Linked DNA regions of Stegostoma tigrinum. The protein of the gene in region 1 binds, or shares a complex with, the protein of each later gene. Links are inferred from orthologs where the notes say so. Each region holds a gene or a part of one and is shown on either strand. Other genes may lie near its edges.

Region 1 (7,278 bases):
AACATGCAAGCCTCTGGAAACACCTTGTCAACTGGTATATTCTTGACAAGCACTAATTTCCTAGCAAGTGCCCTACTAGTAACCTCAACTTTCACAGCAAGAGACAAAGATCCTTAGACAGCACCTTCCAAACCCATGACCACTTCCATCTGGAAGGACAAGGGAAGCAGATACATGGGAACATAACCACCTGCAGGTTCCCCTCCAAGCCACTCACTATCCTGACTTGGAAATATATTGCTGATCCTTCATGGATAATGGGTCAAAATCTTGGAACTCCCTAGTGACATTGTGGGTCTACCTACAGAACATGGACTCCAGCAGTTGAAAAAGGCAGCTCACCACCACCTTCTCAAGGGCAAGTGGGGATGGGCAATAAATGCTAGCCCCTGGGAAGTGTATTTTTATACATCTTTTGTGGAAAGGTTTTGCAATATTCAGTCCACATCTGAGCACTGTGTCAGCACAACTAATAATAAAGTATTTCTGATTCTTGACCAATAGAAAGACTGCTTGTGGCTTTTCTGCAACAACCCAACTTAGATCCTGATTTAAAAATTCTGCACTCGGGTCATTTTGTTTAGCCAGTCTCCCAGTTTTGGCTTCTGTTTGCTACTAGTGCTAGTTTCGCTGGTGTCTAAATGAACACTGTATCCCCATCACAGCCTCAGTGTATTCTTAAAACTACAGTATATTATTTTGAATAGTTGAAAGATTGAACACCCCAATAATATACACAAATTAAAGCTCTTCATCTTTAAACTAGTGTGCAATACAAATTAATGACATTCCTTATTAATGAGGTGAAATCTGAAACTTTCTTTCACTGCATATTTTGAAAATTTTTTTAACTTGAAAACCAATAAATCCTTGCAGACCTCTTAATATAATATATTAATATTAATGAAAGAAGGCCCTTTGTGACTATGTCTGAATTAATGTTGAGATCAACATGCTGTGGCATTTTTTTTCATTTGTATAGAATATGCATTTGAGAGGAATATTTTAAATATCAACTTTCGGAACCAGATTTATCTGCTTATCTAGGTATTCCATTTTGACAATGTGCATGCTAAAAAAATTTGGAAACATTAAAAAATAAACAATTTGGGACAGCAGGGAAGGATGTACACTGAGTTGGCATGTTAATAATTATGTTATCAAAATTACAGTTCTAGGCCAGGACATTGAACTGATACTAGGAAATTTACTGTTACACTTAATGGATCAGATTAAACAGAATCTGATGTTGCCATGGCCACCTGCAACTAAATTTGCTCATAACTCCTAGGTGGTAATCTATCACCAAAATTTTATTTCCAGAGGGAAAAATTTAAAAAGCAAGTAGTTCGTACAGATCCATTTCTGAATTGCATTCATAGCATAATGAACAGTTCTAGTCTTTTTGCTACAAAATAAGTATGACGTTACTGAGAAGCACATAAATGACTTACAAAAAGGATAACAGAATTTAGAGAATATATCAGGTTGAACATGATGGAGAAAAGAGGAGGCTGAGGAGAGATGGGCATTTAAAATTATAATAGGGATTCATGAGAGTAGTCTGAGAGATTCTATCTGCGAGGCAGACAAAAGTAGTGGCCATAAATGTTACTAATAAATCCATTAGGAAAGTCAAGAAAACTTTCTTCACCTGCAAAGAAAAATAATTTATTTTATAGAGTGTTCTGCCCAGCCACTGAGCACCTCAAAGCACTTTTATCACAAATTACATATTTTTGAAGTTTAGTCATCAATATGTGATATGCAGCAGCCAATTTGCACTCCCAGAAACTGGAAATGACCAGGTGATCTGTTTTTGCGATGTTGATTGAAGGATACATTTTGATTGGAACACTGAGCTAACTTTTTTCTTCAAAATTATGGCAAGCAATCATTTACTTCCACTAGAGCAGGCAGAGAGCCTCGGTTTAACATTTCATAAAAGGATGCAATCTTGCGTATGCAGCACTGCCCCAGTACTGCACTGGTGCGGCAGTCTGATTTTAATTGTGCTGAAAGGCTGGTGTGTAACCTAAATTTGGAACCATTGATTCAGATCAAGAGTGATACAAATGAGCTCCAACTCCCAGTAGTGAGTCATTAATGAAACCAAAGGGAAATTCAGGAGTGTGTTAATATCATGATCATGTTCTGACAGCATTAGACAGATGGGGAGCAGACAGCTTACTGGCACAACCTGTTGAACATTTATTAACTATTTATACTAATGTGCGGAGACATAACAGGTAAATAAATATATGAGAGTGATTAAGGGTAACTCGGTTAGTTTGATCCAAAATTGGCCTATTAGCAGGAGACAGGGTGGGGGTGGTAGAGGTAGGGACAAACCAGTGGCATACCACAGTGATCAGTGCTGGGTCCCTTATTATTTGTGATATATGAAGATGAAAATGTGGGGAAGGAGGGAGAGGATGATAAATGTGCAGATGCCACAAAGATTATTCAGTTAATTGTCAGCAAGGAAGATGGTCTTAGGTTCTGGGAGGATATAGACAGATCGGTAGAACAGTGGCAGATGGAATTTGACCCTGATAAATGTGAGGCGATGCACTTTGGAAGAAGGAATAAGATGAGGGAGTACTCCGAGACTGGCTAGATGCTAGGAAGCTCAGAGGAATCTTGAGCGTGTTTGTCTACAGATCCCTGAAAGTGGCAGGACGTATTAATGGGATTGTTAAGAAGGGATGTGGGACACTTACTGTATCAGTTGAGGCATGGAATATACGAACACAGAGTTTTGAGTTGGAGCTGTACAGAACTTTGATTTGGCCACTGCTGGAGTACTGTGTCAGCACACTATTGGATGGATATGTTTGCACTGGAGGGGTGCAGAGGAGATTCACCGGAACAGAGTCATAGAGGCTTACAGCATGGAAACAGACCATGTCCAACCAGTCCACACCCACCATGTTCCCAAAATAAACTCGTCCCACCTGCCTGGGCTAGGCCCATATCCCTTCAAACATTTCTCATTCATGTTCCTATCTAAATGTCTTTTAATCATTGTAACTGTACTCTCATCCACCACTTCCTCTGGAAGCTCATTCCACACGTGAACCACTCTGTGCAAAAAAGTCACCCCTCATGTCTTATTTAAATCTTTCTCCTCTCACTTTAAAAATATGTGCCCAAGTCTTGAAATCCCGCACCCTAGGGAAACACACCTGCCTTTCACCTTATCTATACCCCTCATGATTTTATAAACTTCTTTAGGGTTACCCCGTGATTTCCTATGCTCCGGTGAAAAATGTCCCAGTCTATCCAGCCTCTCCTTATAATTCAACCCCTCCATTCCCGGAAACATCCTGGTAAACCTTTTCTGTGCCCTCTGCAGCTTAGTAATATCCTTCTTATAACAGGGGGTCCAGAACTGGACACAATATTCCAGAAAACACCCCACCAATGTCCGACACAACCTCAAAATCATATCCCAGCTTCTGTACTCAAAAGTCTGAGCAATGAAGGCAAACATACTCAATGCCCTCTTAAGTTACATGTGATGCAAACTTCAAAGAATTATATTCCTGAACTCCTGGGTGTCTCAGTTGGACAGCACTACACTTTTAATTGTATAACTCCTGGCCTTGTTTGTTTGGTTGCCCGGGATGGAGTGCTTTAGCTGTGAGGAAAGGCTGGATAGGTTCATGGTGTTTACTTTCAAGAAGAAAAAAATTGAGGGAGGGGACAAGATAGAAGTGCATGAGGGTAAAAGGGCATGAACAGGCACCGAAACGTCAGCTTTTGTGCTCCTAAGATGCTGCTTGGCCTGCTGTGTTCATCCGGCTCCACACTTTGTTATCTCGAATAGAAAGCAGTTGTTCACTTTAGGTGAAGTGTCAGTAACAAGGTGGGGTGGGAGCGTGTGTAATTTTGAGTGAAGGCTGGAGGTTTTGAGGGGACTTTCAGGAGGAGAGACTAATCACCCAGAGCGTGATGGTAATGTGGGAGGTTAATTGAAGGGTGTAATCTCACGACCTTTTGGATGAGCATTTGAAACGTCATAACATCGAAGGCAATGGGACGAGTGTAGATTTCAGGTAGCGTTTGGCGGCAGAGACTGGATGGGCCAAGGGGGTCTCCCCTGCACTGTGCTAGTTTCTGGATCCAATGAGAGGATGGGTGGTGGGAGGAGATTGGATGCTGTGGGTCGGGCGGGAGGAAGTGCGAGCAGATTGTGATCGATGAGAAGGGGGTTGGTTGCTGAAGTCTCAGTGAGAAAGGGGTGGACAATGGAGGAGGCCAGGCTGTTCGGGCTGTTGGCCTCCGTCTATCCCTCCGTGCGCCGCCTGCAGCAGTTCGTTGCGGAGATCAGCGAAGCGGCAGGAGTCGCGCCGCCGGCTTTGCTGGAAAGCAGCGACAGCGGGCACTACCGGCGCTTCATCTCCCAGCTCATCGTGTGTGTTCCCGGGGAGGCAAAGGCTGTGTGCCGGCCGCTCACCTTTCAGCAGGTACGGGGCTAGGCAGACAGCTCCCGGCAGCACTAAAGCGCCCGGCACCTTCCGGAGCCGAAGTGCCGTTGCTTTATGTACAGGGGCACATTTGGGGAATAACAAGCCGGAGAGGCTCGGAACGGCGCAAAACCCCCCCGATCCCAGGCCATGTTTCTGCGCTAGGGCTTCCTGAAATTCAGCGCCGGATTTACGCAGCGCGCAATCTTAAGGGTAAAAAGGCATTTCGTATGCACCACGTTCACGTTTTTCTAACACCCTCCCCAAAAGTAAAAGTTGAGTCAAAGGGGGATTTGGCGCGATTAACGTTGACACTATTCCCCCCCATACCCCGTGTCTCTAGGCAGCATGCTGTGAAAACTCACTCAGTTTCCAGCTGTACTCCTCACCACCTCCCCCACTTCTCCACTCCCCCCCCCCCCCCCCCGCCAGGTTAGAGGTGGTCTCGGCTGTTCGGTCCAACCCAGGCTGAGCAGAAATCCCCACCACTTTAAACATTAAGTCAGCAAAAACCTTCCTTTAAAGTCTCCGTTGCAATCTCCATTCTGTATTCACCAACTACACTAAAAAAAAGCAAGGAAGTGCTGGAGAAACTCTGTCGGCCTGTCTTTCTCTCAGTCGCTGAAGTAGGAACGAAGTCACCAAAGCAAAATACTGTAGGTGCTGGAAATGTGAAACAGAAATTGCTGGAGAAACCCAGCCAGTCTGGCACCAGCTGTGGAGAGAGGGAGAGGAAGAACAGTTATTGTTGCAAGTCCAGTTTGACTCTCTGGAATTCAGCCCCACAGTAGCGTTTGACAAGGGACCACCTGCACTCGAAACATTAACCCTGTTTCTCTCTTTGTAGATGCTACCAGATCTGCTGAGTTTCCTTTCTGTTTCTGTAGCTTTACTCCTATCACAGCGACTGTGTGAGGCTATTGCAACCTTGGGTCTATATTTCACCCAAGATGAGCTTTCAGTATTTTTTCATATTCATTCGTGGGATATGGGTGTCGCTGGCTAGGCAGCATTTATTGCCCACGTTGCTGGGGGTCTGAAGTCACATATAGGCTAAACCAGGTAAGGATGGCCTTTTCCTTCCTTAAAGGATATTAGTGAACCAGAAGGGGTTTTTCCCAACAATCGACAATGGATTCATGATATCATTAGATTCTTAATTCCAGATATTCATTGAATTCAAATTCCAACATGTGCCATGGCAGGATTTGAACCCAGGTCCCCCAAATCATTATCTGGGTCTTGGGATTAATAGTCCAGTGATAGTACCACTATGCCTTGCCTCCTTCCCCCCCCCCATCCAGACGTCAGTAAAGCTGGTATTTCCACTTTGCCCATCCCTGCATCTGTCTCAGCTCCTCTTGCTGCCTCTTATCTATGCCATTGTTACACAACCTCCTGACGATTCCACTCCTGCTTCATCTCCCACATCACCTTCAGTGAACTTCAGGTGGTCCAAACCTCCACTGTATCTACTAACATATACCAAGTACCAGTCACACACTACACCTAAGCCATGTGACCTAAATTTGTTTGACATTTCAGGTCAGGACCCTTCTTCAGACCCGAAACATCAAACTTTCCTGCTCCTCTGATGCTGTTTTGTCTGCTGTGTTCATCCAGCTTCACACCATGTTATCTCAGATTCTCTCTCATTGGCAGTTCCTACTATCTCTGACCTAAATTTGTTTTTGATTAAACAATGCCAGCCTTCTGCAGGATGATTGACCAGGTGATGGTGGGGAGGACATGGCCTAGTGGTATTGTTACTGGACTGCTAGTCCAGAGACTCGGCTAATGTTCTGGAGACCTGGGTTTGAATCCTGCCATGACAGATGGTGGAACTTGAATTTGATTTCTAAAAAAAATAGGAATTAAGAGTCTGATGATGACCACGAAGCCATTGTCAATTGTAGGGAAAAACCCATCTGGTTCACTAACAACTTTTAGGGAAGGAAACTTGTCCTTACCTACATGTAACTCTTAGTTGCCCTCTGGACAATTGAGAATGGACAAATGCTGGTCTAGCCAGCAACACCCTCATCCTGTGGATGCATTTAAAGAAGGTGTGTCCTGCTTTTAACAGGTGGTGAGGTTACGCCAGAATTAGCTGGCAATCTCATTTCAGTTCACCACAATGAGAATTACTGCAACTCGGAGATGGCATTCAATATAGATTCAAGATGCCACAGATACATATGAACAAGGAACAGGAGGAATTGAGTTTAAGAGCCTTGATGTTATGCTGCAGCTCTATAAAGCTCTGGTTAGACTACACTTGGAATATTGTGTTCGGTTCTGGTCAGCTCATTATAGGAAAGATGTGGAAGCTTTAGAGAGGGTGCAGAGGAAATTTACCTGGAGGCTGCCTGGACTGGAGGGCAGGTCTTATGAGGAAAGGTTGAGAGAGCTAGGGCTTTTTCCATTGGAGTGAAGAAGGATGAGAGGTGACAGAGGTTTACAAGATGATGAGAGGCATAGATAGAGTGGATAGTCAGAGACTTTTTCCCAGGGCAGAAATGCCTATTACAAGTGGGCATAATTTTAAGTGATTGAAGGAAGGTATAGGGGAGATATCAGGGGCAGGTTCTTCACACAGAGTGGTGGGCGTGGGGAATGTGCTGCTGGTAATGGTAGTGGAGTCAAATACTTTAGAGACTTTTAAGTGACTCTTGGATAGGCACATGGAGGATAGTAAAATGTAGGGTATGCAGGATTGAATGATCTTAGAAGGATAATAGGTCAGCACAAAATCGTGGGCCGAAGGGCCTGTACTGTGCTGTACTGTTCTATTTTCTATGTTAAC
Region 2 (7,321 bases), on another chromosome or scaffold:
ATAGACTGGTTGCGCCAAAGGATTGGTTTCCATGCTGAATGACTATGGCTGTCCTGCCTTTACTCAAATCCTTGATTCCCTCACTAAAAGTATCTTTCCTTGTCTTGACTATTTTTAATGGCCCAGTCCACTGTGGTGAAGAATTCCAGATTCACTACCCTCACAAAACAACCTCTCGAGAGCAACTGTCAAGAAACATTTACTGGCAAAGGAGTCACCTCTTATTCTTCTAACTCCAGTGCGTGCAGGCCCCAAGCTGACTGAACCTCTCCCCTTTATGAAATGTCTCCATACTCAAAATGCCAATCTAGTGACCTTTTTCTGGACTGCCTTCAATGCCAACGCATCTTTCCTCCGATTACAGCATCCAAACTTGAGCCCAATATTCTAGGTGTAGTCTAACCAGTCGCTGGCATTGTTTCGCCAAACTTCCCTACATTTATACTCCATTCTCTTTGATGGACAGACCACAATTTCATTTTCCTTCCCCATTACTGGCTGAATTTGTATTCAAGTGTTTTTGTGATTAATGCAGGAGTGGCCCTAAATCCCAGTGCTGCCCTCCCTGTATTTCTCCTTTTCAAAATATTCAATATGTTTCTTTCCAAAAATGCACAACCTCATTGTATAATATCGGTAAGTTTCTGCACTCACTTAATATGTCAACTTATCTCTACAGACCTTTTTTCTTTCATCATTAATGGGATGAGGGTGTCGTTGGTTAGACTGCCATTAATTGCCATCCCTAACTGCCCAGAGGGCAGTTCAGACTCAACCACATGGCTGTTGCTCTGGAGTCACAGGTAGACCAGACAAGGTAAGGATGGCAATTTCCTTCCCTAAAGGACATTATTGATAATGGATTCGTGGTCATCATTAGATTCTTAATTCCAGATATTTCACTGAATTCAAATTCCATCATCTGCCATGGTGGGATTTAAACCCGGCTCCCAGAATTTTATCTGGGTCTCTGGATTGCCTGTCCAGTAATAATGCCACTAGGCCATCACCTCCCTTTGTGTGTCATCAAAATCATTAACAGATTGTAAACGGTGGTCCCAGCACTGATCCCTGTGATAGTTATAGTTTGACATCCTTAAAATCCTTATCTCAACACTATCTTCAATTTGTTAGGCAATCTTTGATTCATGCTAATGTACTACTCACTACCATGGGCACTAAGCATCATGAAAGAATTCAAGTAAATGTCAGGCATGCCTCTATTTGAATTTAGTATGTATTTCTAAATATGTTTCTACTACGCACGTTAAAATAAACTTTTCCCAATTACATATGTTAATCCAACTACCTACAGTTATCTGGCTTTGTCTCCATTCCTTTTATGCTGGAAATGTTGGAAAACTGCCAATCTCACCCAGGACACTTCCAGAATCTAAGCACTGTTGGAATTTTACTGCCAGTGCCTCCAACGTTTCTGTAGCTCCTTCCTTTAACATCTGAGATTGCTACCCATCACATCCAGGGAATTTAATCGGCTTTCAGACCCATGGATTTCCCTTCCAACAGAGATTGCATTAATGTCACCTCCAAGGCTGCTCCCACATTTTGCTCCTTGCTTCACTTCTTGGACAATTTCAGACAGTAGTAGGAATTCATTTTTGCACTCAATGCTAGATATGAAAATAAAATTATTACCCCAATTCCTTCTCCATTTTTCTTCCTTTGCTTCTTCTGTTTTTTAATAGATGCTGCAAACAACAAACAGGGATGGTTAGAATCCCTCAATAAACTGAAGATTCAAGTCATTGGATGTACTCCCACATTGGAATATTTCAAACAGTAAAAACACCGTACCAAAACGCATGCACTTATTAACAGTTTTTTTAAACACTTTCAGACAATCAAAAGCAAGTTACTATCTGTTGCCATATGGTTGTTTCCTCAGACATAATGCAGTAGGTTCAGTACACAAGCAAAATCAATGCTGCTGGCCAAGGAATCCAAGGTAGGTGAACAGAAGGCTAGAAGAACACAACAAGCCAGGCAGCATCTGAAGGAAAGGAAAAGTCAACATTCTGGATAATACCCTTCTTCCACGACTCATGTCCAAGGGAGGCAGAAAACATCTTCAAAATGGGTATCCTTTGAAGGGACTTTGCAGTGGTATAAACTTAGTTAGAGACAAAAAAAACTGCAAATGCTGTAATCCAAGGTAGGCAATCAAGAGGGTAATACCCGAAACTTGACCTCTCTTTTCCTCCAGATGCTGTCTGGCTTGCTCTGTTCTTCCCGCCTCTTGTTTGTCTACATTAATTAACCAGCTAGAGTTTACATTAAGTGAATTCTGGACTCGTTATAGAAGGCTAATATGAATTCAATCACGGGGCAGAAAATGATGCTCATGAAATTCGTGTGTAAGATAATAATGCACATTATGATTGAAATCGCCTGTCTAACTGCTACGGCATTTAATCTCAGAAGGCAGCTTGCCAACCGCGTACTTGTAGTTGTGAAATGGAAATGGAATCTGTGGCTGGAAACTCGTGGCGACGACAAACAGCAAACCGAACTGCCAGGCCCGGCGCCAAACGTGGGGACCACGTGTTCGGCGCCGATTAGCGCCAGGTGCCTGTTCCCATCCATCCAGAGTCCAGGGCAATGCTGGCGATATCCCCCAGCCACCAGGAAACCACCGACATTCAAAGCAAACACCAAAAGTGGGGGAGGGAGTTGCTGCGAGTTACAAGGGGCGCGAAAACCGTCTCCCCTCTACAGGCCGCGGCCTCTACCTCCCTCCCGGCAGTAAGCAATGCCCTGAAGCCGCCGTGACTCCGGCTTCACTCTCTCTCTCTCTCTCCCCTCAAACAAGTCTGCAAATTACAGATCGTTCTCTGCAGCCGCCGTATTAATTCTGACTCCTTACCCCCACCCCGGACAAACAATGCCCTTTACCATCTCCACCCGCCATCTTCTCGCTCCGATCGCCAAGTGAAGAAACGCGCTCCACTCCGCGCAAGCCAATTAAACACCCGCCCCACAATGCACTACTGCGCGCATGTCAATTATAAGGGGGGGATGGCGGAGGATGGAAGACGGCGCATGCCCAGTCTATAAGAAGAGCCTGTTAATGGTGGAAAATCTGAAATATAGCTACCCGCTAAAAATATAGAAATATTCGGAAGGGCAGGATTTTGACCCTATTGTCGGAACGGTAAAGTGTTAGTATACACGTTTCTATACACATTTACGAAAAGGGGGGGGAATATTAAAAGTCAGTGATCAGCTGGAAGCAGGAGAAATTAGAAGACGAATGATGGTGCATAGTAAATGAAATCAGACATAAAAACAAGATCAGTCTAACGGAGACGTAAATGGGATTAGCATGATTATCACCGAATGCTCCTGGATAAAATACATGCAGTATTTATAGAATCGTAGAATTTCCAACAGTGGAAGCAGGGCAAACGGCCCATCGAGTCCACAACGACCCTACGACGAGCATCCACCCAGACTCACCTCGCTACCCTACATTTCCCATAGCTAATTCACCCAGGCTGCACATTTGTGGAGACTATGGGCAGTTTAGCATGGTCAGTCCACCTAATCTGCACAGCGTTGGACTGTGGGAGGAAACCGGAGCTCCTGGAGGAAAAGCATGCAGACAAGAGACAATGTGAAAAACCACACAGTCACCCGAAGGTGGAATCAAATTCAGGTCCCTGGTGCTGTGAGACAGCATAGCTGACCACTGAGCCATTGTGCCACACATTATGATCAATCTGCTGAACTCAAGAGGGAAGAAGGTTGTAAAGTGTCTCAATATTTGAACTGGTATTTCTTAAACTTGGGTTGGCTCATTAAATACCCAAGTTCAGAGAGATCAGAAGGGAATGGGGAAGGGAAATTATTTCTGCAGTCCAGACTTGACAGAAGTTTTCTAAGGACTCCCCATTTGGTTCCAGATCTACCTCTACAGATAATTTAAATCAATTTATTGCTAATTTGGGATATGAGGAAGGGTGCTTGTAGTGCTGAATCCCTATCACTGAGCCAGGAAACCTAGGTTCAAGTCTCACCTGTTCTGGAAGTGTGTAATAACATTTCTGAATAGGTTGATTATGTCATTATTATATCAGAGGCACCATCCCATACCTTTATTCTTCCTTAACTAGCACAAGACAGAGTCAGAAATCACCACTTGAATTAGAGTGTGCGCATATACTTGTATATCAGTCTATCCAAACAGCATTCAATCTCAGCCCATGAACTGCACTCTGCTTGATAACAACAGACAAGAGAAGCAAAGAGTTCATTCTGCTGCTAACATTAGTCTCAGCATCATGAGCCTCAATTTTGCAGCAATCATGTCTGTGCCAGTTATCAAAACCCTTCAACTTCTGTATGCTATGGTGTTTTAAAGTGATCATCAAAATACTTCTGAAATATTGTGGTAATTTGTGCAGCTGCCATGTGCTTAGAGACTGAGTTGCAGACAGCTTCTGCTTGAAAAAAACTTCCTTAAATCCCTCTAAACCTCTTGCCCCTTTCTTGAAATCTATGCACTGTTGTTCTTGATTCTTCTCGAATGTAGAAGTTTTGTGTATTTAATGATGCTCAATTTTGTCCAACTCAGTCAGATTCCCTTTCAGACTTCTCTGGTCGTCATCTCTACCTGAGTCCACACAGACTTTTCACTGTACTAAAGTGTGTTGTGAAAAGTGTATTATGTCACCAGAGGTAAAGCCATCTTAGGTACAAAAAAAAAACTTAGAGTTGAAAAGTTAACCATTACCTTCATCAAGTAGAAAAATAAATCTAATAGTTTAAATTTTAAAAAGACTTTAATGTTAACTAGAAAATAAGGAATTAGGTTAGAAGTTCTTATAAACTCCAGTCACAATTTATTAACCTTAGTGACTGCCAACCATCTTCAGCATAACTACCAACTTTGGCAAGAGTCTCCATTTTTGTCCACTTGTGCTGAAGTTAACCTGACATGCACTTGCAATAGATACTTCTACATCTCAACAGAATTAGTACTCAGCACCAGCATAAGTTTCACATTAAAGTATGAAAGAAAGACATGTTCAGTTGAAATGTTTTGTGTAGAGAAATGGCCGAGTGGCTTTTACATAGAGAAAAATGATTGTGCTTCATTACAGAGGGGCCGTAGAAGCAAAGAAATTGAGAACTCTAGAAAATACCACATTGAAAATGTTTTGAGGTTTCATCCTGAAGTGACATTTGGGGCCTTGGGGATCCATGGGGCTACACAGCACTGTTTTCCCCCTCTTGCTCAAATGGACAATATTAACAACTTTGTCTCCAATTTCTACCTCCTTCCCGTTCACAAGGTTCATCTCAACCCTTTCCCTTTCTCAATTTTTAAATTTCTATTTCCTCAAATAAATTACTGACCAATATTCACCATTATGCCACTGGTCTCATACAGGTATCTCAAGTACCTTTCCTCCCACCCCAAACGAGGAGCTGTTATTCCATTTTTCCATTCTTTATGTTTTTATTTCACCATTTTAGAATTTAGACAGGAGCAACAGGAATCCACTCAGCCCCTTTATTCTGCACAGTCAGCCATGAATAGCATACCTGATCTTTGCATCTCGATCAGCTGTGTTGAATGAACTTATCCTCAGCAATCTATGAAATGATGAGTTTATAAAATTTCAGAAGATTCACAACTCTTCATAAAAGAGTGAAGAAATTTCTCCATCCTAACTGTTAGCTCCGTAAGACAAGATCGTGAAGGCCCCTCATTCTAAATTCCCCAACCAGAGGTAAAAACATCCTCCAAACATGTACATTGAATGTTTAACATTCTTAAAGAAACTTAACATCGAGGTACATGCAAACAAAGGGGTAGGCAATTCAACTCAGATCTTGACTGCCATTTCATAAGATTATGTCTAATCTTATTGTCATCTCAAATCCACATGCCCTTCTATTTATGATAACCTTTCACTCTTTTGCTTCACGAGAATCTATCATCTCTGCTTTAAAAATATTAACAGCACTGCTTTCACTGCCTTCCTGAGCTGGTAATTAAAAAAGACGTGACTTCCTTAAAAAAAAATTGGCTCATCTGTTTTAAATGGGAATAAGTTAATTTCTAAACAGTGACACCTAGTTCTGGAGCAACTCTTTCTTCTAAACTGCAGGTATATGGTCTGTTTGTTCTCGGTTAATCCTGAGAGATCACTGGTCTGTTTTTTTGTTCAACATAGAAAGTAGGAGATAGAATAGCCCATTTGCCCCCTCGAGTCTGCTCCATCATTCATTTTGATCATAACTGATCATTCAACTCAATACTGTATGTTCTCCCCACCACTCCCTGTATGCCCAAGTGCAATATGCAATTCGTTTTTAAACTTGTACAATGTTTTGGGCTCAACAGCTTCCTGCAGTAACAGATTCCACAGGCTTTTTACTCTTTGGGTGATGAAATTTCTCCTCGTCCAAGTACTAAATGGTTTACCCCATATCCTTAGACTCTGATCCTTGCTTCTGGACTTCAAAAGCATCAGGAACATTCTTTCTGCATCTACTATGTTTAGTCCTGTTAGAATCTTAAGATTCTATGAGATCACCCCTGAACTCCAGCAAATACAATCCAACTGATTCAACCTCTCCTCATATTAGTCCTGCCATTCATATGGTGAGCTTTCACTGCCCTCCATCTAAAGCAAGAGCATATTCCCCAGACAGGGAGGCCAAAACTGCATATAATATTCCTGATGGGGTCTCACCAAGGCCCTGTACAATTGCTGCAAGACTTCTCTGCTGCTGTGCTCAAAACCTTTTGTTCTAAAGGCTAACATATGATCTGCCTTCTTTACTGCTGGTTGCCTCTGCGTGTTTACCTTCTGTGACTGGTCTATGAGGACAAGCAGGTCACATTCCCTTGTTCAGTTCATAGCCATATTAAAGCTATCCCATCTTCCAAGGCCAGTTTAAAAGTATTTTTAAAATCAACATGTTCATATATATGAAATGTCTAGGGCTGTTAGGATTTGGACAATCCTTCTGGCTCAGAGATAGGCACTCTACAGCTGCGCAATAAGACCCTCTCCCAAGGCACATATACCTTTCCTAACAAATTGTACAGAACATTCATGTACAATTGTACTGCTCATTACCAATGAGCTGAATGGTTGTAGTAGATTTATTTATTTTTGCATTCCAATCCATTTATAGACTAGCAATATTTGCATATCTACATTATTTTCTGTACCTAAAAAGTTCATTTCGTGACTCATGCACAAGAACATGCAGCTTCCTCTAAATGCAATATTTCTCAGTCTCTTACAATTCTAAATATTTCATTTTTTTCTTGAAATGAATA

Evidence for each region.
Region 2: tert (region 1) and dkc1 share a complex: the UniProt entries of both Homo sapiens proteins name them as parts of the telomerase holoenzyme complex. The link is inferred for Stegostoma tigrinum from reciprocal best matches to the Homo sapiens genes TERT and DKC1.

The regions. Positions count from the first base shown.
Region 1 is NC_081355.1:13,889,946-13,897,223, reverse strand, and holds the start of tert (telomerase reverse transcriptase), read left to right. Parts: upstream 1-4,242; 5' UTR 4,243-4,253; coding exon 4,254-4,472; intron 4,473-7,278. UniProt on the Homo sapiens protein: Telomerase is a ribonucleoprotein enzyme essential for the replication of chromosome termini in most eukaryotes. Active in progenitor and cancer cells. Inactive, or very low activity, in normal somatic cells.
Region 2 is NC_081368.1:49,361,625-49,368,945, reverse strand, and holds the start of dkc1 (H/ACA ribonucleoprotein complex subunit DKC1), read right to left. Parts: upstream 3,019-7,321; 5' UTR 2,930-3,018; coding exon 2,914-2,929; intron 1,710-2,913; coding exon 1,657-1,709; intron 1-1,656.